7 linked regions of the Xenopus tropicalis genome follow. The protein of the gene in region 5 purifies or fractionates together with the protein of the main gene of each other region. This does not show direct contact. Links are inferred from orthologs where the notes say so. Each region holds a gene or a part of one and is shown on either strand. Other genes may lie near its edges.

Region 1 (4,467 bases), about 64 Mb from region 5:
TATTCCCCGGTACTCTCGCCAAGAGACCCCCCCCTTAGGCCTATTCCCGGTACTCTCGCCAAGAGACCCCCCCTTAGGCCTATTCCCCGGTACTCTCGCCAAGAGACCCCCCTTAGGCCTATTCCCCCGGTACTCTCGCCAAAGACCTCCCTTAGGCCTATTCCCCGGTACTCTCGCCAAGAGACCCCCCTTAGAGCCTATTCCCGGTACTCTCGCCAAGAGACCCCCCCTTAGGCCTATTCCCCGGTACTCTCGCAAGAGACCCCCCCTTAGGCCTATTCCCCGGTACACTCGCCAAGAGACCCCCCCTTAGCCAATCTCCTTTCCGTGGCCCCTGGCTACCCCCTTAGTTGGCCACTTAGTGTCCCTGAACTCCGGCCAGTGATGCCGGGAGGCAATAACCTCACTAATCTCCTGTTGGGGCTTCAGACTGCCCTTACTAGATACTCTGTCTAATCTCTCACTCCGAGAGTGACTATAACCGGTCTCTCTGAACTCTCTAACGGGAGCCTTTAGCCTCTATCAGAGGGGGGTCCCAGGGCCAAAGCCCTTACAGTGAGCCATCCCCTTTATCCTGCAGCACACTGCCACCTAGTGGTTACTGCTGAATTACAGGGAAACTCCCTTTTCACACACAAACAGCTAGGACCCCCCTTAGGTGCCCATATCCAACAGGGCCCCCCTCTGGTGCCGCTCTAAAGGGGCCCAAATCTTGGGATCCCTACAATAGGGACCCACAGGCACATTCACAGGTAGGTGTCTCCCTGGCCCAGTGTATCTGTGGGGGTGTCGGGGTGCCCCCTGGCCCAGTGTATCTGTGGGGGTGTCGGGGTGCCCCCTGGCCCAGTGTATCTATGTGTGGGTGTGCCCCGTGTATCAGTGGGGGTGCCCCGTGTATCTGTGTGGGGGTGCCCCGTGTATCTGTGTGGGGGTGCCCCGTGTATCTGTGTGGGGGTGCCCCGTGTATCTGTGTGGGGGTGCCCCGTGTATCTGTGGGGGTGTGGGGGTGCCCATGTATCAGTGGGGGTGTGGGGGTGCCCCGTGTATCAGTGGGGGTGCCCCGTGTATCAGTGGGGGTGTGGGGGTGTCGGGGTGCCCCGTGTATCAGTGGGGGTGTGGGGGTGCCCATGTATCAGTGGGGGTGTGGGGGTGCCCCGTGTATCTGTGGGGGTGCCCATGTATCAGTGGGGGTGTCAGGGTGCCCCGTGTATCTGTGGGGGTGCCCCGTGTATCAGTGGGGGTGTGGGGGTGCCCCGTGTATCTGTGGGGGTGCCCCGTGTATCAGTGGGGGTGTGGGGGTGCCCCGTGTATCTGTGGGGGTGCCCCGTGTATCAGTGGGGGTGTGGGGGTGCCCCGTGTATCTGTGGGGGTGCCCATGTATCAGTGGGGGTGTCAGGGTGCCCCGTGTATCTGTGGGGGTGCCCCGTGTATCTGTGTGGGTGTGGGGGTGCCCCGTGTATCTGTGTGGGTGTGGGGGTGCCCCGTGTATCAGTGGGGGTGTGGGGGTGCCCCGTGTATCAGTGGGGGTGTCGGGGTGCCCCGTGTATCAGTGGGGGTGTCGGGGTGCCCCGTGTATCAGTGGGGGTGTGGGGGTGCCCCGTGTATCTGTGTGGGTGTGGGGGTGCCCCGTGTATCAGTGGGGGTGCCCCGTGTATCAGTGGGGGTGTCGGGGTGCCCGTGTATCAGTGGGGGTGTGGGGGTGCCCCGTGTATCAGTGGGGGTGTGGGGGTGCCCCGTGTATCAGTGGGGGTGTCGGGGTGCCCCGTGTATCAGTGGGGGTGCCCCGTGTATCAGTGTGGGTGTGGGGGTGCCCCGTGTATCTGTGTGGGTGTCGGGGTGCCCCGTGTATCTAACTCCCGTTCCCCGTAGGGTTGGATTATGAAGTCGCTTTCTCCAAGATCATCACGGAGCTGAGGAAGAAGCACCCGGGGCGCATCCTGCCGGACGAGGACCTACAGTGGGTGTTTGTGAACGCGGGGGGCTGGATGGGCTCCATGTGCCTGCTCCATGCCTCCCTCACTGAGTATGTGCTGCTGTTTGGCACTGCTGTGGATACGAGTGGCCACTCAGGTGAGTGCACGGCCCCTCGGCTTTGGGGACTGGTTTTGGCAGGGATTTGGGTCGGGTTCTGGGTCGGTGCCATTGGCCGATTACTGCCCTGTGACCCTGGTACCATGTGACTGATACGCCGTTCCTGGGGCATAACCAGCAGCTAATACTGCCCCCCTGTAAATAGGGGCCCCCCGAGCGCAGATCCCCCGGGCCCCCGGTGGTAGTTCTGTGAATGTGGGCAAATCCCAAGCATTGGCCGTAAGGTGCCCAGCCCTTTGCATCTTGGGGGTCTCTGGGGCCACAGATAAACCCGAGCAATTAGTTAATTGGCCAAATGCCCCGCTGGCTTCTTATGAGCTCGTTACCATCTCGGGGCAATTAGAATCATTTGCCTCTTCTGTCCCTGCAGTCATTGTGCCTTGGAATCATGAGGCTGCCCCCCCCCCCCCCCAGGGGGCTAATAGGGGAGGTTCCTGACTGGGGTACAATGCAGGATTTGGGGGCCCCTTCTTCTCTGGGGCGAAATAGCGCCATATTGGGGCTGAATGTGTTTGGGAAAGGAGGGGCCCCCGGGGGCCACACAGTGACTTGTCGCTGCTTTACAGGTCGTTACTGGGCAGAGATATCCGACACCATCCTATCCGGAACGTTCCGCCAGTGGAAAGAAGGATCGACAAAAAGTGAGATATTTTATCCAGGTAGGTACTGGCCTGGGGGGGGAGAGTCTTGCATCTGCCCTACGTGGGGGCAACATATCTGTATGTGAAATGTTCATTTACCCAGCCGACCCTCCTGCCCCCCCATTCACGTTTAGTCATTGTGCCCTGTGCCCCCCAGTTGTGCCCTGTGCCCCCCAGTTTGCCCTGTGCCCCCAGTTGTGCCCTGTGCCCCCCAGTTGTGCCCTGTGCCCCCCAGTTGTGCCCACTCTCCCCTGTTTGTGGCCCCTAATGATGCAGCTCCGCCCTTCTCATTGCAGGAGATACCATTGTGCATGAGGTGGGGGAGGCCACGTCGGTGCAGTGGAGCGCTGGGACGTGGATGGTGGAATACGGCCGGGGGTTCATCCCTTCCACGCTGGGCTTTGCTCTGGCCGATACCATATTCAGCACCCAGGACTTTCTCACCTTGTTCTACACAGTGAAGGTTTATGGGAAGGCCCTCCTCCTGGAGACCAGCACCCACCTATCAGAACTGGGCTTCTTCTGAGTGCCGCCATATTGATTCCCGTCTCCCTCCCCCTTTCCTTGGCTGATTTCTGCTTGAACCAGCAGGAGGCGCTAGCCCGTACTTACTGGCCGTATGTAATTCCCTATAATCAGTGCTAATTGGGGGAATTTTTGGTTCAAGCCTCTCTTCAGTATTTGCCCCCAACCCCCCCCCCACCCATAGCAGGGTGCCAGATTTATGGTTTATGCCTAACGCCGGGCTTCCAGGGTCTGAGAGCCAATCGGCATCCTCTGTAAGTGTCACCTGACCTAGGCTCCAGAGCCACTGCCTTAACTATGACCATGTTGTGTGGATGAGCCCCATGAAAGTGTCGGCGCTGTTGGGCAGTCGGGCGGCTGGCACTTGGGGCTCAGGGGGTAAATAAAGCATTTGCCCATATTGGGAGATGATACACTGGATTTCTGACTGCTCCATTGGATGGGGGGGGCGGGTCACAGGGGCATTGGGGATTATTTTACTCACCCTAAAGTGTCCTGATTTGCTATCTCTGGGCTCCTCCCACCCTGCCCATTGCAGCATCTCCGTGGCACCCGGGGGGGGGGTAGTTATAAATACCCACATGGAAACGCACCTACGGGGGAGCAAACTGGCACCAAAGTAGACAGGGGGCCCCGGTCCCTCAGCCACAGGCAGCGGATAAACGGTTAAACCCCAAGACCGAAAAAAAAAAAAGGAAAAGAGAGCAGTTACCCACGTGCCCCCCCGCCTGGGCTCCATCTGTGGCAGAATGTTCCATGCCCCTCCCCTGGCACCATCATGTCTGTGTGGCACCTCCCTGCCCTCAGCCTGGCACTGTGTGGGTAATGCCCTTCCCTCCCCACTAGGTGGCGCTGTGGGTGCAGAGCTGGATATTTGAAAATCTAAATATCTGAATCTTGTTCCCAAGGTCCCTTTATGTGGACTTTCTGTAGAAGGGTTGTCCCCGCCAGAACCGGGCCTCCCCAGCACCCCGCCAGAACCGGGCCTCCCCAGCACCCCGCCAGAACCGGGCCTCCCCAGCACCCCGCCAGAACCGGGCCTCCCCAGCACCCCGCCAGAACCGGGCCTCCCCAGCACCCCGCCAGAACCGGGCCTCCCCAGCACCCCGCCAGAACCGGGCCTCCCCAGCACCCCGCCAGAACCGGGCCTCCCCAGCACCCCGCCAGAACCGGGCCTCCCCGCCAGAACCGGGCCTCCCCGCCAGAACCG
Region 2 (4,103 bases), about 8.1 Mb from region 5:
TGCACACCCAGTTTCAGACATGCATGACTCTGTCCTTTAGGAGTTTATGCGGGTGATTCGATACTATTCTCCCCGATTTGCCTTGAGTCCTGCTGTTATTGCTTTGTTTGTCCCTGATATGTCTTATAAAACTTATTCCCTATACTTTTAATGTTTAGATACTTCTTGCAACATTCTTTCATTTGATACATGTGTTGAAACCTAATAACCACTTACACATAACTGTAACACTTGTAGCACTATAGTTTCACCTATTTTTACCTCATTTTATTATATGTCTTTGCCTCTTTTTGCTTCTTTTCTTTATGCTGTTTATTTACAGTGGTTGCTATAGTTACCAGGGTCACTTTTTGGCACCATTTTTGTGGGAGGGTACTTAAATTGCGTGTTGGTATTCAGTCTGTTGGTTTATCCCTGAAGAAGAGTACTGTTTGTACTCAAACTTTTGAGTGTGAATGATAGAATATCAGGACCAGCACTCCTAATTTTATGTGTTTCTTTTTAACACATTGTACAAATGTCCGTATGTATATGTGTATTGTTTAAATGTCTCTTTTTGTCGTTTTATTTAAACATACATACAAGCAGAAATTATTTTTGTAATAGTGTGGTCTCACAATTAGGTATATTTAAGATCAAATTCAAGGCTTCCTGGACCTGAGAAAAAAGTACTCTGCGTGCTGTGGCTGGGGAAAGTCTTATTATTTAGAAATGATTCATAACTGTTACTGTCTTCTGCATCTGAAGTTAGAAATAACAGAAACTAAATGTATATATTTTTTTCTTCCTGTCTAGTTCTTCTCCCGGCTAACAGAGAGGTTTGTGTATGGAGTAGATGTGTTAGTAGAGACGCTCTGGAGGATATGGACGGATCTCTTAGAGGTTCTTGGAATTGATGGTAAGTGGTTGATATGCAGTCAGCAGAACACATTTGGCAGGTTATTTAAAGCAAGGGTGCCAGATGTCCTATTAAAATACTCTAGATAAGGTGAGCTGCTCTTTGTATAAACTTCCTGATAGAAGAGACCTTTCTATTCATTATCATTAACCCATTTTCTGCTGAATGGATCTGCATTTGAAGGCAAAGCTATACAAGATTTATATGTACAAGGCCTTATTTCCCTCCTAGTACTCGGGCAATGAAGTAAAGAGTAAAGGTGGCCACATACGTTACAGTTAGATCACAAAAATAGATCGTTCATCCACGCTACTAACGTTAAGAGTAAGATATGCAGGTAAAAACAAAGGAATTCTTTTCCCCTATCTGACAATTCAGCATTAATGTTATGATGTCTGGGCACCTCCAAAGGCACTTGATCAAAATTTTTAGTCCTGCGCAATAGACGAGACTACCAATATCCAAGGCTTTTACTGATACTGATCGCCTTGTCTCCCACCATTAACGCAAAGAGTATCTTTGTATAATATCAGTGCCTGTATGGCCACCTTTAGATTATCAAAGGTAAAAGCAAAAAAAGATAAAAGTAAAGAAGTTGCATAGAATTTGACTTAATTATCTTGGAAGCTGATGACCACATTAGGCCATGAATGCATTAGGCCAGGCAACATTTCGCAGCAGCTTCTTTTCATTATATGTATGGCATGTCAAAAGTTCATCCTGTATGTGAATTATATATTGGAACATAGTTTTCCAATATATATATATATATATATATATATATATATATATATATAAATAAAAATGCAAAATTAATATTTAATTAAAAACATTAAGTGAAATTTAGATATTTTCATATATTCATTTGAATCCTGTATATACACAGGTCTGTGTGTTGTGCATTAGGATATGCTTTTCTATTGTGCCTTATTCAAACCTGAAATTTAAACTGCTGTCTGGTTGCTATAGTCAATGGAAACACTTATAGGGTTATGTAGGGTCCAGTTACCCATAGCTACAAGTCAAAAGGTAGCATTTACTGGTCACCTGTTTAAAAGCAAACATCGTATTGGTTGCTGGTCCTAGGCAAACTTAGTGCCTTTTATTATATACGGCGGATATATTTTTCTTAGGTCACTACAGGCTGGCTTCTGTACAGCTGCTAGCAGAAGGAACATTTATGTAAGTGGTTGGTAAGGTGTGCCTCTTTAGCTACTTAAAACTTGTTTTTGTTTTTTTTAATCTTGGCATTGCCTCTCTTTATAAGTCTAATATTCAACTATGAAGCTTTGTGTTAACTTACAGTATATATATATATATATATATATATATATATATATATATATATATATATATATATATATATATATAAAGGAGAAAAGATGCCGCACTCACAGGTCTTAGTGCAAAAATAAAGAAAAATTTATTTAAACAGACTAACGTTTCGGCAGTAGAAGATCCGATCCAAAAATTAGCCGGACACATTGGTGTAGTAGTTAGGGCATAGTATATGCTGTCAACTGGCTCACGGAGCATAGCACCAGTTGAGAGCATATACTATACCCTAACTACTACACCAATTTGTCCGGCTAATTTTTGGATCGGATCTTCTACTGCCCCTTCAGCACCCTCTCTGCGATGCGTGGGACTTGCAGTTCAGCATAACAGGTTGCTTGCTACTTTCTCTACTGGTTCCATTATCTTCCTGTATTTTCTGTGTACATTTCTATCTCTCACAATGATCTTACACACAATATTCTCTACTCAGATACTTTTATGTATTATTCTTTATTTTTTATTTATTTCCTGCACAGTGGGTGGGTGGTGTTAAACTAATTTATGCTATGACGTCAGTAACTGTATTTTGGCGCCAAGTTTGGTTTAAGTGTGGGTTGCTCTTCATGTGTATTCACTTTGAGAAAGGCTGTAGCCACAGCCGAAACGTTAGTCTGTTTAAATAAATTTTTCTTTATTTTTGCACTAAGACCTGTGAGTGCGGCATCTTTTCTCCTTTGTACCACATCGTTTCATACTGCACCCAGGCACTATTGGCTCCTACACAACGCGAGTGCCGGCTCTCCATTGCAATATATATATATATATATCGATCACCAGAAGAATGTGGGAAGGTAACATGATAGCAGCTCCCTGAAACCCTTAGTGCTAAAAGTGGTAAATATCACAATAGCGCTCAATAGTAAGAAATCCAAGTCCGGCTTGGGACTTCTCCAGTTACATGGGAGTAGGAGAAACAATTGCTTATCTGAAAGCAGTTCTAACATGTAGCGTTGCCTCTTTCTGAACGCTCAGAATCAGTGCATTGAGATGGCTACACACCAATATTACAACTAGAAAAAAAATCCTTTGTTGGTTCAAGAATAACGTTTAAAATGGCAGAGTGAATTATTTGCTATATAATAGAGATGCACTGAATCCAGGATTCGGTTTGGGATTGGGCCAAAATTTGGTCTTTTTCGGCAGGATTTGGATTTGGCCGAATCCTTAAAATCATGTGACTTTTCCCACATTAAGGCGGAAGTTGAAAGTTTTTCACATACACACGTAGTGCACGGTTGTTTTTACACCTTCCTTGCTTTAGTTTGCATATGCAAATTAGAATTCAGATTCAGTTCGGTATTAGGCCTTAAACATTCACAAAGTTTTTGGGGTTTGGGCGAATCCCAAAATAGTGAATCCAGTGCATCCCTACTATGTAAACAGTGTAATTTAGAAACAAAGAGTACACCATAAAGATCATGACAGAATCCCCCTAAAGCAGTCTCAGTTGGGCAGTTGGGGGAAATACTTTTATTACCTCTTTCTCTGCAACAGAAGTGACTTGAGATTTTACTTGAAATGTGTGTTATACATGTTTAAACCTAGGTGATTATACGCTGCTTCAGATTTCCAAAAAGCCTTACACTAGAGCAGGGGTCCCCAACCTTTCTTACTCGTGAGCCACAGTCAAATGTAAAAAGACTCTGAGAGCAACACAAGCACCATAAAAGTTCATGGAGGTGCCAAATAAGGGCTAAGATTGGCTATTAGGCAGCCTCTATGCACACTATCAGCTTACAGGGGCTTTATTTGGTAGTAAATCTTGTTTTTATTCAACCTAAACTTACGACCAAGTCAGGAATTCAAAAATAACTACCTGGTTTAGGGGTCAAACCTAGGGGTTGGTGAGCAACATGTTTCTCACGAG
Region 3 (4,103 bases), on a different chromosome or scaffold from region 5:
TGCACTGACAATGGGGCTCTTTTAAAAGCACTGGGCAAATTTTTGTCTGGCCAGTAACCCATAGCAACCAATCATTGATTAGTCTTTTCAGCTAGCTGTAGGGAGAACAGTGAAGGCAAATGTATAATGTTGTTGCCATGGGTTACTGTCCAGGTGCTGATTTGGCCAGTGTTTATAAATGACCCAGACTGGTACACTGACATGTTGGCTGGTGCCAACTAATCTGCGCTTTCACCCCCCTGGGGTATTTATGCCAGTTGACAAAACAATATGTGGTTTTAATGAGAAACACTTATGTCAGTGTGCACATATATAAAAACTGAATCTGCCTCATCAGGGCCATTCAGCCTGTCATTTACTTAAATAGTAATCCCCCTGATACGAGGCCTTAAGAAATATATTTTTTTCTGGGGCCAGTTCCTTAACATATAAGTATTTTTAACTGGAAAAAAGATTTCAAGATCTAGTACAAAAGTGAAATTGAACATTATTTGTAATATATTTCAGTGCATTTTCATTTCCTCATGTTACTGACCCTTTAAGTGTGTGTATGTGCCTATACATACATAAATTTAAATGGCTAGTTGACTTATAAATAAAGTAAGACTGGTTAAAATAGTAGCAAAAATCCTGTTTTAGTATGAAAATACTACATGGGACTACAAGACAGGTAAGTTAACTTTTGTACAGGTATAAGACTGCATGCATATTTACTGTAGCTTCTTTATGCATTTGTCTTTATTAAATGGGTAATTCACCTTTGAGTTACATTTTAGTATGAAGTGGAAAATACTATTCTGAGACAATTTGCAATTGGTTTTCATTTTTTTATTGTTTTTTTTTTTATTTCACTTTTTGCTCTCAAGCTCTTGAGTCAGCAGCTAACTGGTTGCTAGGGTCCAAATTACCTTAGCAACCAGAGAGTAGTTTGAATGAGAGATTAATATATGAATAGGAGAGGGTCTGAATAAAAAGAAGTAAAAAGTAACAATAAATCTGTAAGTAACAATCATTTTTTGGCTGCTGGGGTCAGTGACGTTCCTTTGAAAGCTGCAAAAGTCACAAGAAGAAGACAAATAATTAAAAAAAACTATAAAAAGACAAATTAAAAAGTTGCTTAGAATTGGCTGTTCTATAACATATTAAAAGTTAACTTAAAGGTGAACTACACCTTTAAGGATTTTTCCTTTATCACCCCTCCCATGTTAAGAAAAGTGTTTTCAGGTGATAATATCCTTTTATTTCTCTAGGGTTGTACACACATTATAAATTAGTATACCAGGGTACAGTTTCCAGTATTAACCAGTCTGCAATAAGATTTAAAGAGTCAATTACAAGTTGGATAATGGCAACTGCACTTGGATAATGGCACAGGATCCACATACAGTCTCTCTTTCTCTACAGGTTCTAGTGAACACAGTGTGTTGCCTTTTGATGCTGATTGCTAAACTGATCCAGCATGTGGTATTTGGTCCCCTCCGTGTTGGAGAGAGACAGGTAAAAAGGACTGTCTATGTTCCAGTTGGTGTTAAAGGAACAGTAACACCAAAAAATGAAAGTGTATAAAAGTAATAACAATATAATGTACTGTTGCCCTGCATTGCTACAACTGGTGTGTTTGCCTCAGAAAGACTACTATAGTTTATATAAGTAAGCTGCTGTGTAGCCATGGGGGCAGCCATTCAAAGGAGAAAAGGCACAGGTTACTTAGCCGATAACGGATAAACCCCCATTATATGGGGCTTATCTACTAATTATCTGCTATGTAACCTGTGCCTTTTCTCCTTTTTTCCAGCTTGAATGGCTGCCCCCATGGCTACACAGCAGCTTATTTATATAGTAGCTTTTCTGTAGCAAAAACACCAGTTTTTTGCAGAGCAACAGCACATTATATTTTAATTACTTTAAAACACTTACATTTTTTGATGTTACTGTTCCTTTAATAACCAACTTGTATGCTGTTTAATCCTACAAATTGCAGTCATCTTGACTTTGCACTCTTCTCTTGCCTTCTTTATTTTTGTAGCACTTGAAGGACAAGTTTTGGAACTTCATCTTTTATAAATTTATCTTCATCTTTGGGGTACTCAATGTCCAGACAGTAGAGGAAGTGGTCCTTTGGTTTTTGTGGTTTGCTGGATTGCTTTTTCTTCATCTCATGGTGCAGCTCTGTAAGGATCGGTTTGAATACGTACGTAGAATGGGAAAAAAATTAAACATTGCACTAAAAATTTAGCTCTGATTCTGCTGTGCATATATTTCTAAATGATTTTCTCCTTTCTTTCTTACAGTTATCTTTCTCCCCAACCACTCCAATGAGTTGCCATATGCGTGTCTTGGTTCTGCTGAATATTATGCTCTTGGCCTGTTGTGGTCTTGCTGTGCTGTGTGCAATTGCTGGATACACACATGGGATGCACACATTGGCTTTTATGGCTGCTGAGGTAAGAAAATACCAGATTGTTTCTCCCTGTGGTACATAAGCCTGCTCGCTGCTTTAATATACTCCACATTTAGATACCAAATTCTTAGTCTCCCTGTCTTAGTATACTGCTTTTGATTAATTTTTAAAAGGTATTTATACCCTATTATATAATTTAATGTAAAATTGCTCACTTCTCTTCTGGTCTCTGCTATTATCATGAAGGTGTAAAAAAGCTTATTTTACTGAAGTAGGATGTGTCCGTTGATGCTTAGCTTAGCTCCCCTTCTCTGTAATCAATGTGAATTTCAATGTGCTGAGATAAGCAGTTTTATATGTTATACATAGCGTTAATGTCTCCTTTTAATTTAAGTTATTACTTGAATAATTACCAATTAGCATTTAAGTTTGTCTGCATTTCTAACTTATATCCTGTTGTACTTTTTGTCAGACTATAGTTTGTCTTGTCTTGTTTTTAATGGTAGCAGGAATCTCTCAAAAGGAAAATAAAGCAACACAAGTCCTCAGAAAGGGTTCACTCCTTGAAATACAGTACCTTTTTAGAATTTAATAAAAGTGACTGCATTGCTGAATTTTCCATTTGAATGATTCCTTAAATACGGTAAGGTAAATCCAGTTTTTTTTTTTTTCTTTAAAATACCAGTATATATATATATATATATATATATATATATATATATATATATATATATATATATATATATATATATATATATATGAGAGTTTAAGTGCCTTTTTTTGATGTTGGTGTTCTCTGTGATTGGTTTTACTCAATCTTACAAACACATCAGATCAAATGGATCGTTTCTTTAGAATACAATGTTATTTAGTACGTAGCCAAAGAGATTAACAAGGGTCCAGTGGCATTAGTAGCACAGAAATAGAATTAAAACTTTTCTTATATAAATGGGACATTTGTTGCTAAGAAATAGTTTATTTTTAGGTGATGTCAACAATTCTGTAGGGAAGCACTGGCACAACACATTCAATAGAGTAAATTAAAGTGCAAATGTGCCAGTATTAATTTAATTACTATTTAATAATTTAATATTTTATTTCCTTAAAAGTGTGATTGCTCAAATCTCATGTAAGTGTAGGTGATCTAAATATCACACTCTGGCTAAATCACCTAATCACCAGATGCATAAATAGCAAGGCCAAACATCCATCTTTCATCAGGGACCTTCTGTCTATCTTATGTGGATACCCACTGAAAACAAAGTGCACCAAAATTGTGTAGTAACATTTTAATAAGAAATAAATATAAACCCAAATGGAATACTCACAGAGATTCATTCAAGCACTAAATAAAAATTCTTTAAAATCCTGGAAACTTCTGAGGTTCTCTACTTGTTTCATGTGGTATGTTACACATCCTCAGGAGGTATCACCTATTTTAGGTGATGGTTGGACAGGTACGCATTTTAACTGTAGAAATAATATTTTTATTTTATGCTGTTGCTGGACACTTAAGAGAATTGTGATCTAAAAGCTGCTGATTATCTGTGCACATTAAAAATGAATTACTTTTATTCCTGTAGTGCATGTTGGTGACAACAAGAACCACTCATGTTGTGCTACGGTAAGCCCTAAAACTATTATTGTGTTATTTTTTTTTATTTTTTTTTAAATGAAAGTATGTACAATAGTGTTAAAACCA
Region 4 (4,756 bases), on a different chromosome or scaffold from region 5:
AGCATACTTGTGGATAATGATAAAGGAGCTGGCAGGGTGTAAGCATTCAAGGTAGGGAGTAGTTTGTTGAGAAGTGGAAAAGTGGAGGTACTGAGATGGTGGTTTTGGGAAGGGATAAAATGTAAGCCCGAAAGATGGTTAAAATGGAGAGGAAATTGTGGATGTGGAAGAGTGAGGCTGTAAATACAGCATGGGGTACATTGGACTCTAACACACAGGGTGGGCTTTCACTACATGGAAAGATCAAGGGAGGATGTAATGAAACTACAACTCACTAAGGCTGTGTGCAAAGTAAATGAATAAATGGACACCAGAAGGTTCTGAACTGAACTGAAATTGATTTATTGTCCAACACTATGATCCACAGGGTTATGCAATACTCACAAATACAGGTGGCATGGATTAGGCAGGTTCAATTATGGTAAAGCAGAAAGATATAGCATCCACCGGTTTATCCCAACTCAGCCGACTGTGGGCAAAGACTGCCAAACATCACGGCACCACTGTGGGGAGTAGTCTGAATAGTAATTATTTTATTCCTTAGGGCAGAGATTCCCAACCTTTTTACCAGTGAGCAACATTTCAATAAAAACAAGGTGGGGAACAACACAAGCACAAAAAACTTTTCTAGTCAGTGACCAATAAGGACTGGTTAATTTGTAGCCCAATGTGGAATGGCAGACTACTACAAGCTCTGTTTAGCAGTACACATGCCTCCAAGTCACAAATTAAAAAAAGGGCACCAACTTTGAGGCCACTTAGAGCAACATCCAAGGGGATGGTTAGCAACATGTCGCTCACAAGCCACTGGTGCTGCATTAGAGTAACTTAATGGTCAGGATGCCTTACAGCATAAATTTCTACATGACCTGCATTGTTCATGTCTGTCCCTGCCCCACTGGAGCTTATAAACAAGGGCCTTATCATAATCACAAGAAAATGTACATTAGAGTTGACGACATCATGAACCATTAACCTGTCCGTAACCAATCAAATATCCCCACTGTAAATTGTAGCTTTCAATGGGGTTGAAGTTTGGCGCTGTACTGAGTGTTGCATCACAACTGGAAGTGGTCAAGAAGAGCACAACCTATGCCAGGGGTGGCCAGACTTTTTTCAGTCGCGATTGACCGATGACCGTGGAATGCGGCAGTGAGGCGTGAATGTGTATGTAGGCAACGCAGCGTACGCACTCATTCACGCCGCAATTCCACATCCCGGCTTCATAGCTGTCCACCAGAAATCCACGGGGGATCGACCGGTGGACCGCAATAGACGTATTGGCCATCCCTGAACTATGCCATTCCTTTTCTGGGACTGTATTCCCACAATACCTATAGGCAACAGGTATATATCAAGTCACACCCCACTGGCAAATAGGTCCGTGTATAAACTAATGATGCGCAAGTAACATTTGAAATGTAATACTACAAAATAGAAATATGTATTCTTAATTCATTCCACTCTCTAAGACGCGCAGCAGCGCAGCTCAAACACCAGGGAACACATTTGCTCGATAATATCCCGGCCTGCACCGCGCCTATAGAACAGCGGCTCTCATTGAGAGAATTACACGTCACTGTTAGTCGGTGCCTGCGCAATGCATCTCTAGGGCAGGAGTACGCATGCGCTGCGCTTAGTTACTGCTACGTGTGAATAATGGCGGAGCCTCAGGTTCAACATGATTCTCGGTGGTTGCCGGACATGGAGTTCATTACACAGGAGCTGCAGAAGCAAGACCCGACCTTGCTCTCCGTGGGGATCGCCCTAATTGTTGTCGTGCTTAGCTTTGGTGAGTGGCAACTTTCCAAGCCGGGTACAGTTGTGTGAGGAGATGGGGAAGGGACTTATGATGTGACTGACAGAAATAGCCAAGTGCCCTACCTTTAGGCGATACTGTATTGGTTTGTGAATCTGTGGTGAAGGTGTGTGTGGGGCAGACCATCTCGGCTAGGGGAATTCTCCTCCACCCCCATTTGGTACCCACAATGTACTGTGCCATGGAACATGTGGTACCTGAGTGTGTGGGCACTGACAGGTTAAATGGCTCCTGATGTTATTGTCCCTAAAGTGTATTTTTGTCTAAATATGATTAGGCCCCTAGGCCTCTGACTTCTGATACAAGTAGAAGGGAAAGGAGAAATCACTGAGGGATGCCAAATGTTAGGGAACAGACAGATAGGGGACCCATTATCCAGAATGCACAGGACCTGGGATTTTCTGGATAAGGGGTCTTTCCGTAATTCAGATCTCCTACCTAAAGTCTGCTAAAAACATTATTTAAATAGTAATTAAACCCAATAGGATTGTTTTTCCTCCAATAAGGATTAATTACATAATTATGTGTTAGTTGGGATAAAGTACAAGCTACTGTTTTATTGTTACAGAGTGAAAGGAAATCATTTTTAAAAATGTGAATTTGATTAAAATGGAGTCTATGGGAGATGACCTTTCTGTAATTCAGAACTTTATGGATAATGGGTTTCTGGATAAGGGGTCCGATACCTGTACTACAATAGCAATTCCAACTACAAATAACTTTGCTTAAAGATGTAGTTCGACAAATCCATTATGGTGCTATTGCCTGAGGTTGCCTTATTACTGCCTGTATAAGAACCTTTTGGAGGCTTAACTTTTGTAAAGATAAAGGGCGGTGCAGAGTGCTGCATCTGTCAGTAACCTGGGATTTGCTATTGTATAAATGAGTTCAAAAATTAAGTGAGGCATCTGGGTTAATAGCGCAAGTAATAACAGGTGCTTTTTTATTGTTTTTTTTTCCGGTTATAAAGCAAAGGAACATGAGCTGTTCGTTTCTAGTATAGTTGCTTGGTGTTTTGGGAAGGGCGTCACATTGTCTTCTCTCTCCTCAGTTCTATGGAAGATTCTGCGAGGCAGTCGGACCAGCCGCAGAGCAGTGCTGCTTATTGGAGTGTGTGACTCGGGAAAAACTCTACTGTTCAACAGGGTATGACTACCAACACGTGGGTACAGTTGCTCTGTATGAAGCTACTCTTGCCCACCGGTTGCAAAAATTTTATTTTTTTTGGAGCACCCTTCCTGCATAAAAGAAAGCATTTTAATTGTAGCCTGCTGTTTAAGAGATCCCCAACCAGTGGCTTGTGAGCAATATGTTGTTTACAAACTCCTTGAATATTGCTCCCAGTTGCCATAAAGAAGGTGCTTATCTTTTCATTACTGGCTTGGAGGCAAGTTTGGGTTGCATAAAAACCTGGTGTAATGCCAAAACCAGTCCTTCTGTAGGCTGCCAGTCCACACTGGGGCTACCAAATAGCCAATCATAGCTCTTATGTGCCACCCCCAGGACTTTTTTTATGCTTGTTTTGCTCACAAACACTTTCTCTATTATGGTTTAAGATATACATCTTTTTCTACACCTCCCACTATATATAAAATTTGGCAGTTGCTTCTACAGCTCCAAATAAATAAATACATTTATATATATAATCTGCTTTTGTATGTTCTTTAGAAACCTGTTTCTGTAGCTTTGTGTGTGTGTAGGTGGGTATCAGCAACTTGTTGCTACAGCTCCTAGTACACTTCTATAGCTTGCATCTACATCTCTTGCTTGATGATGGTTACACAGGATTCTTACAGGACCAACGTTACGGTATCCATGTAAAAATGCTGCTGCTCCTCCTCTGGTTTATAATCCATTCTAGTAACATTTCTCTGTTACTAGTATAATCTAAATCCATGAGCATTTTTGTTCTAAATTCACTGTGTTCTTTTATTTTAGTTACTTACAGGAACATACAAGAAAACCCAAACCTCCATCACTGCCAATTGTGCTGCATATAAAGTGAAGAATGACAAGGTAATGGTCTCAGGTTATTTTTTTTTAATTTTTTTTTAAAGGGCATCACAGTGGTTCAGGCTCATAATGTTGGCAGGTCACAGCATGGTATACATAGGCAATGTATTATCCATTGGCTGAGAAAGGTGGGGACAAGTTGTAAAGTACAGAGGAAAATTGTGCTCCCCAGTATGCTTTTTACAAAATGTAAATGTGCAGGTCGGAACCCACATATATATCGTAGTTAGTAATGTTTTATTGTTGGTAAAAGGTGGCATTACATACATGTACACTTAATAACTGAAATTTTTTTTTATTTATTGTATAGATTGTATAGTCATCTATACTCATGTTTCCTCCCTGTGAGAGAAAACCATGTGAAACCTTGGCAAATGTAGATGTGCCCCTGACTCACACATACCCACCCCTCAGAGCACCAAAGCCTTTTCTCTACCCCAACATGTTTCTTGCTCAAAAGTGAAGGATTGTGGGACTTGTTGTTCCTTTACCTGCCCAGTGTCCCATAATAATATATATAATATTCCTGTTCTGGTATTTTGGAGCCCAGAGAGGGTGTTAGTGCAGCTTCTTTGCCGCTAAGTCTTTGTGACTTGGTTGTACTTAGCCTTTATTGCTCTAAAGCCAACGTTCTTTTTAACTGTTTTTATCCGCATTTGTGTTAGCATTGCTAAGGTGTTGGTTTCAGATGGAGGTGTGTTTATTTTCATTCCTGTTTGCTGGAAAGAATTAGATGCATACAGGTGTTTTACAGTATTTGAAAGAAGACTTAACAGTACTGTAGAGACACTCGGATTTTTTGGTGGACCAAACAAAAGCCGCATATAAGCTTTCAGGGGGGACCCTTCTGTTAGGTGTGGTTTTCTTTGCATTCATGGAATAAATGCATTAAAGCTTTGTTTGGCCATCCAAAGAATCTGCATG
Region 5 (4,123 bases):
AAATTAAGGGGGGGGTAGAAAGTAAAAGGGATAGAAAAAAAACTAATTATAAAATTAATGGGAAAGAAGATAAGGCTGATTAGAAGAGAGACCAAACAGAAAGACAAAGAAAATCATTGATAATGTAAACAAGTGGGCTAACATTAGGGGAGAGGTAAAGATGGATGAAAAAATAAAGAAGCAGGGAGCAAAAAAACTATTCAAAGTATTTGAGCTCCCATATTTGTAAGTCACATATTACATAGTTACATAGGGTTGAAAAAAGACCATTGTTCATCAAGTTCAACCCATCCGAGTAAACCCAGCACACAACCTATACTAACCAATCTATACACTCACATACATAAACTATATATATATACAACCAGTAATACTAACTGTAGATATTAGTATCACAATAGCCTTGGATATTCTGCTTGTTCAAAAACTCATCCAGGCCCCTCTTAAAGGCATTAACAGAATCTGCCATTACCACATCACTAGGAAGCGCATTCCACAGCCTCACTGCCCTCACCGTGAAAAACCACCTACGCTGCTTCAAATGGAAGCTCTGTTCCTCTAATCTATAGGGGTGACCTCTGGTGCGCTGATTGTTTTTATGGGAAAAAAGAACATCCCCCAACTGCCTATAATCCCCTCTAATGTACTTGTACAGAGTAATCATGTCCCCTCGCAAGCGCCTCTTTTCCAGAGAAAACAACCCCAACCTCGACAGTCTAACCTCATAGACTGTCGTATCTTTTCTGTCTGAGTGTTATTAAAAAAAGTGTGTGTATGTGGGGGGGGGGGCTGGCTTAAATAGGGTGTTTTATACTAAAGTGCTTTCCGTTTGTTTGTCATTAGTATATTCTTATTTAGGGCCGTGGCAGACGGGTAGATTAGTCGTTGTGCGACAAATCTCCCCGAAATGCCATCCCACTGGCTAGAATGTAAATCGCCGGTGGGATGGCATACACAGCAACGAAATCGGCAAAGTTTCCTCTGAAGGCGATTTTTTCAAATCGCTGCGCCGCGTATGCCATCCCACCGGCGATTTACATTCTAGCCGGTGGGATGGCATTTCGGGGAGATTAGTTGCCCACAACAAGGGAGATTTGTTGCGGGCGACTAATCTCCCCGTCTGTCACGGCCCTTAGAGTTGGCTAACGCTGGTTAAGGGGATTGATACAGTTATGCATTTCAAAGAGTGCGTCTGCATTTTTCTGTTAGATCCTGTCTTTTACATGTTTATTTCACTTATACAGGGTTTTCAGGGTTTCGGATTTGGTGATGGGGGGTTCCAGATGTCATTTGGTATTGGAGCATTCCCTTTTGGAATATTTGCCACAGCCTTTAACATCAATGATGGCCGCCCTCCACCAGGTAACATTTTCTTTCATCAAAATGGCCATATACATAGAGTATAAACATGCTTAGTTGTCTAGGTAACAGAAAAAAACTTGAACTTTTGCTGATGCCGCTATGCATTGAGCCAAATAAAGTATATCTGAGTAAATACTGATGTGATCCTTGAGCCCAGATTTGGCCTAATCAATTTTTCACAAGTCTAAACAGATGATTGGGTAAAATTACTGTTTCAAACTCAAGAACAGACTGATAATCTAAGGCTAGTGGCACACAGGGTTGATATTACTTTTGCATTGTCATACAAAATCCACTTGATGTGTGGTGCACTTGCACAAGGAGCTTATGGACACACATCAGCTTTTCTAAGCAGGCAGAGAAAATCCAGTCATCAGTCCCATGTGCAGTTAGCTTAAATTGAGGATAAAATGAAAAAACAGCAGCACTCCGGAGTCCCATGTGCAGTTAGCTTAAGGATAAAGTTAAAGGGGGTCCCATTGTATGCAACTATAAGGGATTTTTAGTCAATATTGATGATAAATTTTGTATAAACAAACCCCTAATTTTTGTAATCTGCATCAGGATTTCAGATGCTAAATGCTAAAACCTGGCAGTCATTTAAAGCAGTAAGATTAGTTTGAATATCGGACGACAACATTTAAACAAGATAGCAACGCTTGCACACATCCCTATATACTAAGGTGACCAGATCACTTAAGAATTTAGGGACATTTAATAAATACATGTTGCAGGGCAGTACTGATTTAATTTAAATTAAATTGCAATCAGTTCAGCCATGCTAGCTTGATTTTTTAGACATGTCCCTAAATTTTCAGGTGATCTGGTCACTCTACTATATACGCCAAAAAGTGATCAACAATACCCCAGATCTATATCCAGCTGCAAAGCTATCTTGCCCTAACAGGTAGAAACCCTATTTCCTCTAATACAACCGATTTATATAGTATCAATGGGTGCCCCTCTTCTCTTGCATTGTTCCTAGGTTTAGATATATTTTATAAAAACCTACTTTCTCTGAGCCACCTCTATGTACTTTTCAATTACTCTCCCTTTAAATAGTTTTTGCTTTCCAACAATTTTGTCTGTGGTTACAGCAGTCTCAATATCTTGACTTGTTATTTTTTTTCTTACAGCAGTTCCTGGGACTCCACAATATGTCGATGAACAGTTTCTCTCTCGTCTCTTCCTCTTTGTTGCCTTGGTGATTATGTTCTGGCTGCTAATTGCATGATGCTGGCTCCATGTGATAAAGACTAGGTTTAACAGACTGCATACCTTTCCTTGAAAATCACAAATCTGCCATATTATTACTCTTGTCATCAAAATGCGCCATTCTTGATGCCGTGCTCCACAGTTTGTAATGGATGACAGTTGGGTGCACTACATTTAAAATATATATATATATTAGAGAGAAATAAATAGTATTATTGACTAGGGATGAGCTTTGTAAGAGCAGGGTTTTCTGGAAAAGCATTGCAAAATGACAACAGGAAGGCAGCAGTGTAAGAAAAATAATACAACCAGTTGTGTAATATCAGGATGCAATTTGACTCACTTCAATATAACTTCTATAATGAATCAAATTACACTAGAAGATCAGATTACGTAGCTGACAAGGAGAGTGGAAGCCTGATTGGGAGTGAAGCACTTTCAGAGTCAAAATATGGAACCAAAATCACAAGATAAAGTTATTCAAGAGGATGAGTGATATAGGCATAACAGCAGAATAGAAGTTTGTACACAAATACCTAAAAGTCTCCAGATACTGAACTACTGTAGAAGGAACAATGGAAACCTCAGAACTGTGCAGAACACAGATTAATGCAACAGAAGAATGCCTGACCTGCAAGTGAAGCATATGGTGTGGAGTTGGAGATATTTTCTGGCATTTCTGACACCAGACACAGCCCGATGTGTAGTCACCTCCAGTGAAGAGAATGCTGTTCATACTGTATTCCCTAAGAACTTATGACCCAGGTTGGGCTGAAATGATGTTGATTCCTCAATTTTATGAGATTTTAATATTTAAATTACAGTTAATTAAATGATACTTTTTGAAAGATATCTTGAAGTACTGCTAAAGTATATATGAATATAAAGAAATTGAACATACTTTAAAAGGGATCCTATCACAAATTCCTTGGGGTTTTTTTGTCCTTTTTTTTGTATATATGATTAAATAGCACGATGCAGTTTGCAGAGAGACATAAGATATTTTTATTTTCTTGGGTTATTAGTCCCTGTCTTTGCTGAGCTTATATCTGATACTATCCTTAAAGGCACAGTAACAACAAAAAATCTTTTGCTTAACTTTTACTCCTCCATAGATTTTTAAGGGGCTTAACCCAAGTATTTTATTTACAAAATGCCCTGCTGCAGCTTTTAATAATGGGTGATCAAGCAATAGGCACCCTGCATTTCTCTGAGCTGTGAACTGAAAGAGGAATCAAAAGTTTGACTGCCAAAGATCCTCCACTATGAAACTGATTTCTGTTTCAGTTGTGATTTTAGGGGCTACATTAAAGCGAAGTATAATTCTGGGTAAAGCAGTTAAAAAATCCAAAGGGGAGTCATTTTTACATATTACAGCAGTTTAGGGGTGGATTAATTACTACACGATTTTGGTGTCACCTTATGTGGTTTAACAGATGTAAAAAAAAAAAAGTTAATGTAAATGAGGAGGGAAACAGTCAAAAATCGGGGAGGACAGATGCTTCTTTTAGGAAGTTATAAATACTGTGTTAATTTTGCAATTAGT
Region 6 (4,730 bases), on a different chromosome or scaffold from region 5:
CTAAACATGACCTGCCTATCAGTGCTAGGTACCACCTTCATCATCCTCGTTTTATTTTCCATGCAGTCACTTTTCTGTGTTTCCCTAGGGTCACTGTATGCAGTTGGCCTGCAATAAATATGGCAGCCGTGTGTTAGATCGCATGTGGACGGCATCAACCTTAAGGGTCAAAGATGAGATAGAGCAGAAGCTGGGTATGTCTGCTATACAGCTATACTGGGGTGATCCAGAGATCCCTTCCTGTAATACGGCATTATATTTGATATATTCTCTCTCTCTCTCACACAGTCGAGAAGCTCCACCAACTGCAGAACGATCCTGTCGGTCACCACATCGCCCGCAACTTTGCCCTGACGCACTTTGTGAAGCGGAGGAAATACTGGGAGGAGCGCCAGCTGGGGGAGAACAAGCGCCGAAAAATGTTTTCTGAGATCCTGGAAGACTGAAGCGACATCTGAAAAAACTGACTTACAGCTCTAAGCCATTGCCAACATGGTGCCTTGGTGCGGAGTTTGACAGTTCAAGCCAGGACTTGAATCAGTCATAAATCTGCCAATTGGTGGTTCTGGAAGTCTGGATGTTACAACAGAATCCCTTCCCTTGTTGATTAACATGCAATGAGCTGGACTCTATCATGATATGGAGCTTATATTTATAGGGCAGTGGTTCTCAACAAGCTAGTTGAAATACTTTATTTCACTAGGTGACAGCACTTCTAAACCGGGATAAAATGACAGCCTCTTTTACAATTATGATTAGTGATGAGCGAATCTGTCCCATTTCGCTTCGCCATAAAATTTGCGAAACGGCAAGAAAATTTGTAAAACGGCAAAAAATTCACAAAACGCATTAGTCACGCTATTTTTTTTTGTTGCCCACGTCTATTTTTTGTCGCCTGTGTCTATTTTTTTGTCGCCCGTGCTTTTTTGCTGCACCCGCGCCTTTTTGATGTGACCATGCCCGATTTTATGTGACAACGCCCTTTTTGACGCGCAACGAAAAATTCCGTAAAAACAAGTAGGATCTATCCTACATGCACTATATTTTATAATTCCTATGATTATTCATTTTCCAACTAGAACATAGTCCAACTATATAAAAAAAGTCTATTTCCTTATATGCAAAGGTACACTGTTCCATTACCAACTAGGAACTAGATATATCTGACCATATTGTCTAGTTTCTATTACTGTTCCTTTTCCCACTAGATTTTAGCCCAACTTACACTGAAAGATCTATTTCCTAGTCTGTAAAGCTGCTCTGTTCCACTAGCAACTTGGAACTAGATATGTCTGAAGAAATTGTCTAGTTTCTATTACTTTTCCCTTTCCCACTAGATGTTAGCAAAACTACACTGAAAGATCAATTTCCTAATCTGTAAAGCTGCTCTGTTCTATTACCAACTAGGAACTAGATATATCTGAAGAAATTGTCTAGTTTCTATTACTGTTCCTTTTCCCACTAGATTTTAGCCCAACTTACACTGAAAGATCTATTTCCTAGTCTGTAAAACTGCTCTGTTCCATTAGCAACTTGGAACTAGACACAACCCGCCAATCACTGCCAATCGCTACTCTCTTCCTACTTCCTATTTCCGGCCAGCTAAAGTGACGCTGTGTGGTGACGTTTCCCCGGGCGCGTAGTTAGTGACGCAACCTTCCAGATACGGGTGGGCCCTTGTGAACTCGGGTTTGGGCAAAGAGGGATCCAGGCGAAGCCGGGCGGTAAGTGACACGCTTTTGACGTCACGTCATATTTAGACCCGCTCAGGACTCAGGAGCCGTGACCTCACCCCCTTACGTGTATCACCCCCTTACGTGACATCATCACACCCGGCCGTACCATTGTAGCCTCGACTTCCTAGCGTTTATACGTGACAGGCACACTGTAGCCCCATTCAGACTATGATTCCCTGACTGAGTTTGTGTGCTTGTATAGGGTTTTGTTGATAGGCAATGCCATTGGTTCCACTGTGTGTGCTGCGGTATTGGTGCCATAGTCACTCTGTGACTGCTCTGAAAATGAGTGGGAGGCCAGGTGACTGCTGAGAGAGAAGGAATTTGGGGCCTTGTCTATCAAGGGGCTGAAGGCTGATGCCCTGTCTCTGCAGTGTCTGGGCCTTTTATTGTATAATATCATACAGAGAGACCCCTGCTTCAATGTGTGGGAGGCCCCTATGTGGCAGTGGATTGTTGGTGGCATCCTGTGTTTGTGGTTTCAGATAGCTGGGGGGGCTGAATGTGGGTCATCTTTGTATTCCTACCTGCCCGCACAGTACCCCCTTTTAGCTTACCACTCAGGGGCAATCTGGCCCATTCAGAGTCAGCAGCGTATCTACCTGTATATGGGGTGCTCTGTTGGGCCTGCCAACCAATACCTGGCTGGAAATTGAACAGATTTCGATCGGCTTACTAATGCCTTCCTAGTCTCGATGGCCTGCGTTTCATCATTGTCGTATGATTGGCCAAAACAATCGGATGGGCCCAATACTGCCCACCTCATATAAGATCTGCTTGTCTGGTGACCTTGCCAAACAAGCAGATCCTTACATGTATCTCTAGCTTAAGAAGTACATGTTACCTGCAGCCCTCCTTCTGCTGTTGGATGATAGCTACCTGCCCTTGGCCAGTAGATATAGTTTGCTCAGTGTGCTCACGGCCCCTAGTAAAGCATGGTGGGCACTGTATCTCTTTCATGTAACATGTGACCATCTGTCCTTCTTCTAGGAAATGGGCATGGAGTCGCCCCCGCCAACCATGATAGAGGGTCTCGGAGATGAGGTAACAGTAGCAGTTGGTCTCTTCATCCTACTCCTAGCCATCACCTTGGCATGGCTTTCAACCTACGTTGCTGAGGGAAGTGACCCCCTTTTAGGAAGCTTAATCCCAACTGGGCGCAGGGATCCTCTCCTGGTACTCAGTAATCCAGTACCTGCCAGTCCTGAACCACAGAGGCCTGCGGAAGCCCAAGCTGAGAAACCAGAAGAAGGAGAGCAGGATCCTGGTGGAGAGCAGGAAGCTGGCAGTGAAAATGCTAACCTGGATCAGATGCTGGATATTCAGGGGGTATCCAAGCGCAGCCAGGCTGTGCCACCACTGAGAGAGGAGGATGGCACAGAGCAGGATGTGACACAGGAAGATGATAAAGAAGCGGAAAGCCCTCTTATTGTGGGTAGAAAGATAGAACAAGAGGAGGAAAAGCCACTTGCAAAAGAGGGGATGACTCGGGAGAAGCCTGAAGAAGCACTCATGACAGTCAGGCTTAAGTTCCTGAATGAAACAGAGGAGGTGGCTATGGTCAGGCCAAACGACACCATTGGGATGTTAAAAAGGTGAGATAGTGAGGAATTGGGATACAAATAACAGATAAAGAATATAAACCAGATTAAAGGTGGTCAATAAAAGCTGACAACTGGGTTCCTCCAGGACAGTGCTGTCCAACTGGCGGCCCGCGACCCCCCTCTGTGTGGCCCCCCACCTGTCTGGCTGCTTTGATGGCTTACCTTTGAGTAAGCATTAAATGGTATCAGTACTGAGATTAACTGGCCCCCTGCATGGTTCTCACCTCAGATTCAGGCTGTAATCCCTCTGTATTGTTTAAAAATGTAATCCCCTGTGTTTTTCACACCTTTTAATACCTGCATTGTTCACACCTCAGGCTCAGACTGTAATCACTCCCATTGTTCACTTCTTCACACCTCAGACATAGGTACTGTAGGCAGAGTATGGCACACACAGGCAGCATAGGTCAGGGAGGGTATGGCACACACAGGAAGGGAAGGGCAGGCAGAGTATGGCACACACAGTCAGGTTAGGGCAGGCAGAGTATGGCACACACAGGCAGGGTAGGGCAGGCAGAGTATGGCACACACAGACAGCATAGGACAGGCAGAGTGCTGTCTGTGTGTGCCATACTCTGCTTGCCCTATGCTGCTTGTGGGAGGTGAACCTGGCAGGGGTTTGTTGTGGGAGTTTGTTAGCAGTTGGAAATAGCCATTAAATGGTCCCTAAGGTGTGAAATTATGTACTGGGGGTTGCTCTGCTATCCACAGGGGAAGAGGAGGCATATGAAATTTAAGGTTATATCTTAATATGACATAATTCTTTCACATATGAATGATGGTTGATATCCCCACAGTAAGAACCAAGCATTTGGGATTTTGCTGTGCTACCACCATTGTGATAAAATAGGTGTGGTTTGAAGTGGGTGTGGTTTCAAAAAGGGGAGTGGTCAAAACTGGCTTCCATTAGCGGCCCTCCACCATGTATGCTAGAGAAATTCCGGCTCTCGGCACCGTAGAAGTTGGACAGCACTGCTCCAGGACAATGTGGCAGCCTATTGGCCCATGTAGGAGGCCAACCAATATCTTTCAGGTTTGAAAATCCCATTAGACTAGAACCGCATCAACACATTGATGCAGTCCTCATCCATTGTGTCTTCATAGTCCCTGCTCTATGATCTGCCCATTGGCCCTGCGCATGAGTGGCCAAATTGGGTTGAGCGTGAACAGATTTCAACATGTATGGCCAGATTAAAGCTAATCTCTACATATCCAGCCTGTAACACCTCTAAGACTGTGGTTGAACAACCACAGCATGCACTTGGCAGGTGTATTTCAGCAATAGCTGCAAGGTTGCGAGTTGAAAATGTAACCTATACCTGAACAATTGACTGCAGTCACTGGTATCATATAATATGTACATAGGTTCTGCAGTAGGCAGTGCTAGTCC
Region 7 (4,103 bases), about 52 Mb from region 5:
TGTGCACAGCTCTCTTCAGGTCACCCCATAGATTTCCAATCCGATTAATATCTGGGCTCTAACTGAGCCATTTCAGAACAGTGTTCCTCCTTTGGTTAAACCATTGCTTTGTTGATTTCAATTTATGCTTTGGGTTGTTGTCATCCTGAAAGGTGACGTTACCTTTTTTTATCTTCAGCTTCCAAGAAGATGCTTAAAGCTTTTGTGACAAAATAGACTGATACTTCTTGACTAAAGCACCAGTTTCAGCTGATAAATAGCAGCCCTTTGCTGTGCTGTCATTTTTGCTCCAAACATACCTTTTGGAACTATAGCCAAATAGTTTAACCTTGGTCTCATCGGACCATAAAACATTTTTCAACATGGTTGTGGGAGACTGTATACCTTGCAAAGTTTAGCCGGGCTCAGATGTTTTTCTTTGTGAGTAATGGCTTTCGTCTTGCTACCCTACCCCACGACCCAGACATATGAAGAATAGAAGTGTTTGCAGGAATCTATGATTAGCAAACAACATTTGTTATAGGGGTAGGATTACCATCTAGCAACGGCTAATGGGGGTTTGGTGGCAGCCTTCTGAAGATACGCTGAAAAAAATTATGTACCACTAAAACGCTGAGGTAAAAAAAATCTTCCCATTCAGCTAATCCCCTTCCTGCTCTATACTGTCCAGTCAGCACTGAGCAAACCTGTGCTTGCTCCCACATATTAAAGGCGCAAGCATGTCAGAAGCAGAATGCAGAAACATGGCTGCAGTGGTAAAATACATCCCCCCCATCATTAGCTGTTGCTAGGTGGCAATCTCCCATAGAACAACCAACATATTGCAATTGCAGCTCCTATAATGTTGACTTTAGTCCTCTTGGTGACCTCCCTGACAAGTTTTCTCCTAGTCTTCTCATTAATATTTGGATGAACGTTCTGATCTTGGTCAGTCACTGAACCATATTTTCGCCACCTTTTTGATGACTGACTTCACTGTGCTCCATGGAATGTTTAAAGATCCTTTAATACTTTTTGGATACTTTTTTTGTACCCCTGTCCTGATTTATATCTTATAATGATGAGATCCCTTTCATGCTTTAAAAGTTCTTTGTAGACCATGGCTTTTGGAGTATGAGACCAAGATGCTACAGCAGCGGTTCTCAACCTGTGGGTCGAACAACCCTTTCACAGGGGTCACCTAAGACCATCGGAAAACACATTTCCGATAGTCTTAGGAATAATTTTATGGTTGGGGGTCACCACAACATGAGGAACTGTATTAAAGGGTCGCTGCATTAGGAAGGTTGAGAACCACTGTGCTACAGGAACAGCCAAATTTTATTAAACCCTCATTTATTGATGTCAGGTGTATACTACTACTACTATTACTATTTGAGATGAGATTGAATGTGATTAGTTTATTCTGAATGCAGCCACTTCCTTGATTATTAAAGGGTGCGCCCAGAAATGCAGCCAGTTTTTTGTATGATTTTTTCTTTTCCTTCTTTCACTTAAATAATTGATTTGTTTTTAATTTATTTGTAAAGACCACCTATATGTTTGCTTAAATATGCAATACACAAGCAATATTTTAATATCACTAATTATTTACTTGAGTTTGGGTAAAACATTTACACTTCAAATGTTTATAAAAATAGGAGTACCTATGCAAGTTGGTGTCTTGAATTTTCAGCTTACTTCAGACAGAATTTTAGTATGATGTAAAAGCAATTTTCTAAAGTTACGATTGGTATTTATATTTTGTTCTGCAGCTCTCAAGTCTATTCTTTGGTCGGTATAGCTTAAATATTTAGCCTTACTAAGAGTTAGAAAGTAAACCTGAATAAAATGATATGCAATAAATCTTGAAAGGAAACTTTGTCTAGGTGCAGTAACTCATAGCAACCAATAAGTCATTCATTTGTGTCTACATTTGAGGTTATTTCAAAAGAGGAAAATGTCTAATATCTATATGAACATCAATAGTAATGTAAGGCTTTTTATGCTTGGTAGACTTTCTGGTATGTTTGGGGGGTACAAAAGGTTAATTTAGCCTGATAAGCTTTGCACTATTTAAAATGAGCTTAGACTCTTCTGTAACAGATTGGTCTAGGATTAGATATATTTTCACTTTTTTTATTTTATTGTTACTTAGGCCCTCCTGGTACTGTTTATCCTTGCATATATCCACATTGCATTCTCCCGTTCCCCAATCAACTGCTTGGAGCATGTTAGAGAGAAATGGCCTCGGGATGGAATCTTGCGAGTGGAGATTCAGCTGAACTCAAGCCGAGCACCCATCTTTTTACAATTTTATGACAGTGACACATTTCCAGGTTTGGTAAAGGAACCATCTGGGGAAGATGAGGAGGAGGAGGAAGAGATGAGCGTGGAAATGTACCACAATAGCTCCATCAAGGTACTAGGTTTTGAGTATTAATTGAAGATACAAATATTACTCTGGGCATTTTTTCATTTTCTTCATTTAATTGTAGAGGCAGTTCTTCAATATTTTGGGTAGTTGCCACCTGTAGAGCAATCAAATATTGCTGCCATGTATGCTGTTTTACAAGGTAGACGGTCACACAGAACAATTAGTTGCTTGCATGCTACGAGTTTCATTGTTCTTATTCAAATGTAGTGAATGAGGATTAGTTGGTTTTGTTTCACACCCCGCAAACAAATATTTCTATGAGTAACAATAAAATATGTCCAGAGCTGTGCCAACTGAACAAGAGAATGTTAGCTTTGGATGCAATAGTTAAGCTCAAATTTTCTCACAGTAATGTTTTTATTCCATATAGTTTGAGCTGGATATTGAGCCCAAAGTATTCCTGAAGCCATCTCTAGAGAGTGTTACTCAGGCCTCTGAAAACCAGAGCCAGACACTGTCCTTCAGTGATGCTGCTAGCAAAGGTGCGTTTCTGTTCACTTATAAAAGTAGATCTTTGTGCTGGGATGTATATGACTGAGACACTAGAGCTGGTTTACTAACTCAGGTTTTTAATTTCACAAGTGAAGTAGTTACCCAAAGCAAGCAATAAAACCTTTGCTATAATATCTACTGTCACGTGCATAATCTGGCCTGCCATAAAGAAAATATTTATTTTTAGTGTGGCCACAAGAAGAGTACATCGTGGAATATTCCTTAGAATATGGCTTCCTGCGGCTGTCTCAGAGCACAAGGCAGAGGCTGAATATCCCTGTTATGGTGGTTACACTAGGTAAGTTGCTTGTGACATTCACTGTTGGTATTAATGAATAATTTCTTTCTTTAAAGTTAGTCTTTTTTTTTTTTATTTATGCCCTAAATTTACTCTAAACAGCCCCAGAATAACATACCTTTCTCTGTGCATGCAGATCTATTTTGTTTTTCTATTACAAGCCGTTAATTTACTGAGTTCTTTGCCTAGCATGAGCTCTGCTCCCTTTTTCTTTATGAGAACTCCTCTCTCAGACTTTAAAGACCTCAAAGAAATGTCTACTGGATCCGGATGCAGGGAGAAAGACATGTTATTCTGGGGCTGTACGGTTACTTTTTGGGGATTAAAAAAAGGGGTTTACTTATTCTTTAAATAGCCATTATTTTTGTTTGCCATGAATGAGTATGTATTCTAAAGAGGCTCCCACCAGGGACTACTTTTAACCAAACATTTTCTAGGTCTTCCAACCTATCAATTATTACACTTCAAACTGATATGTACAGCGCTGTGGAATATGTTGGCGCTTTATAAATAAATGTTAATAATAATATGTAATATAACAGAAGGAGGCAAGAACAGTGCTGTGTTAGGTGTGTTTAAAACAGAATCCAAAAAGCCTTATCTCTGCATGTTGGATCCTAACTGGTGCATTCAGTTTACAAGCTTTTTCTGGATATAGAATAAGCACATACAAAAGCATGCCATTCAGGCATCACCTTTTGAAAGTGCTGTGTACCTTAAAATTACCATTTATTGCACTATAGGCAGTGTTATTCTACAACAACTATCAAATAAAAATATGCACCACTACAAGAAAGTTAAAAATGATTATAAACTTTATTACACTCCATTAAAATAAACCCCATGTACAAAGCCTAATGGAGTGTAATAAAGTTTATAATCATTTTTAACTTTCTT

What was found.
Region 1: the proteins of rnf185 (region 5) and sigmar1 purify together in Homo sapiens (affinity purification with mass spectrometry; 3 studies listed by BioGRID and IntAct, with this or other methods). This does not show direct contact. The link is inferred for Xenopus tropicalis from reciprocal best matches to the Homo sapiens genes RNF185 and SIGMAR1.
Region 2: the proteins of rnf185 (region 5) and bri3bp purify together in Homo sapiens (affinity purification with mass spectrometry; 3 studies listed by BioGRID and IntAct, with this or other methods). This does not show direct contact. The link is inferred for Xenopus tropicalis from reciprocal best matches to the Homo sapiens genes RNF185 and BRI3BP.
Region 3: the proteins of rnf185 (region 5) and amfr purify together in Homo sapiens (affinity purification with mass spectrometry; 3 studies listed by BioGRID and IntAct, with this or other methods). This does not show direct contact. The link is inferred for Xenopus tropicalis from reciprocal best matches to the Homo sapiens genes RNF185 and AMFR.
Region 4: the proteins of rnf185 (region 5) and srprb purify together in Homo sapiens (affinity purification with mass spectrometry; 3 studies listed by BioGRID and IntAct, with this or other methods). This does not show direct contact. The link is inferred for Xenopus tropicalis from reciprocal best matches to the Homo sapiens genes RNF185 and SRPRB.
Region 6: the proteins of rnf185 (region 5) and tmub2 purify together in Homo sapiens (affinity purification with western blotting; 3 studies listed by BioGRID and IntAct, with this or other methods). This does not show direct contact. The link is inferred for Xenopus tropicalis from reciprocal best matches to the Homo sapiens genes RNF185 and TMUB2.
Region 7: the proteins of rnf185 (region 5) and tmem259 purify together in Homo sapiens (affinity purification with mass spectrometry; 3 studies listed by BioGRID and IntAct, counting the BioPlex papers as one, with this or other methods). This does not show direct contact. The link is inferred for Xenopus tropicalis from reciprocal best matches to the Homo sapiens genes RNF185 and TMEM259.

The regions. Positions count from the first base shown.
Region 1 is NC_030677.2:215,919,237-215,923,703, forward strand, and holds the end of sigmar1 (sigma non-opioid intracellular receptor 1), read left to right. Parts: intron 1-1,869; coding exon 1,870-2,070; intron 2,071-2,657; coding exon 2,658-2,750; intron 2,751-3,028; coding exon 3,029-3,258; 3' UTR 3,259-3,668; downstream 3,669-4,467. UniProt on the Homo sapiens protein: Functions in lipid transport from the endoplasmic reticulum and is involved in a wide array of cellular functions probably through regulation of the biogenesis of lipid microdomains at the plasma membrane.
Region 2 is NC_030677.2:160,067,710-160,071,812, reverse strand, and holds part of bri3bp (BRI3-binding protein precursor), read left to right. Parts: intron 1-795; coding exon 796-898; intron 899-4,103. UniProt on the Homo sapiens protein: Involved in tumorigenesis and may function by stabilizing p53/TP53.
Region 3 is NC_030680.2:51,707,975-51,712,077, reverse strand, and holds part of amfr (E3 ubiquitin-protein ligase AMFR), read left to right. Parts: intron 1-1,404; coding exon 1,405-1,497; intron 1,498-2,026; coding exon 2,027-2,191; intron 2,192-2,291; coding exon 2,292-2,444; intron 2,445-3,984; coding exon 3,985-4,025; intron 4,026-4,103. UniProt on the Homo sapiens protein: E3 ubiquitin-protein ligase that mediates the polyubiquitination of lysine and cysteine residues on target proteins, such as CD3D, CYP3A4, CFTR, INSIG1, SOAT2/ACAT2 and APOB for proteasomal degradation.
Region 4 is NC_030681.2:129,992,414-129,997,169, forward strand, and holds the start of srprb (signal recognition particle receptor subunit beta), read left to right. Parts: upstream 1-1,581; 5' UTR 1,582-1,659; coding exon 1,660-1,792; intron 1,793-2,870; coding exon 2,871-2,965; intron 2,966-3,757; coding exon 3,758-3,835; intron 3,836-4,756. UniProt on the Homo sapiens protein: Component of the signal recognition particle (SRP) complex receptor (SR). Ensures, in conjunction with the SRP complex, the correct targeting of the nascent secretory proteins to the endoplasmic reticulum membrane system.
Region 5 is NC_030677.2:152,009,719-152,013,841, forward strand, and holds the end of rnf185 (E3 ubiquitin-protein ligase RNF185), read left to right. Parts: intron 1-1,244; coding exon 1,245-1,362; intron 1,363-2,498; coding exon 2,499-2,596; 3' UTR 2,597-3,429; downstream 3,430-4,123. UniProt on the Homo sapiens protein: E3 ubiquitin-protein ligase that regulates selective mitochondrial autophagy by mediating 'Lys-63'-linked polyubiquitination of BNIP1.
Region 6 is NC_030686.2:18,479,185-18,483,914, forward strand, and holds the start of tmub2 (transmembrane and ubiquitin-like domain-containing protein 1), read left to right. Parts: upstream 1-1,617; 5' UTR 1,618-1,724; intron 1,725-2,726; 5' UTR 2,727-2,729; coding exon 2,730-3,331; intron 3,332-4,730.
Region 7 is NC_030677.2:100,361,746-100,365,848, forward strand, and holds part of tmem259 (membralin), read left to right. Parts: intron 1-2,137; coding exon 2,138-2,401; intron 2,402-2,786; coding exon 2,787-2,898; intron 2,899-3,095; coding exon 3,096-3,206; intron 3,207-4,103. UniProt on the Homo sapiens protein: May have a role in the ERAD pathway required for clearance of misfolded proteins in the endoplasmic reticulum (ER). Promotes survival of motor neurons, probably by protecting against ER stress.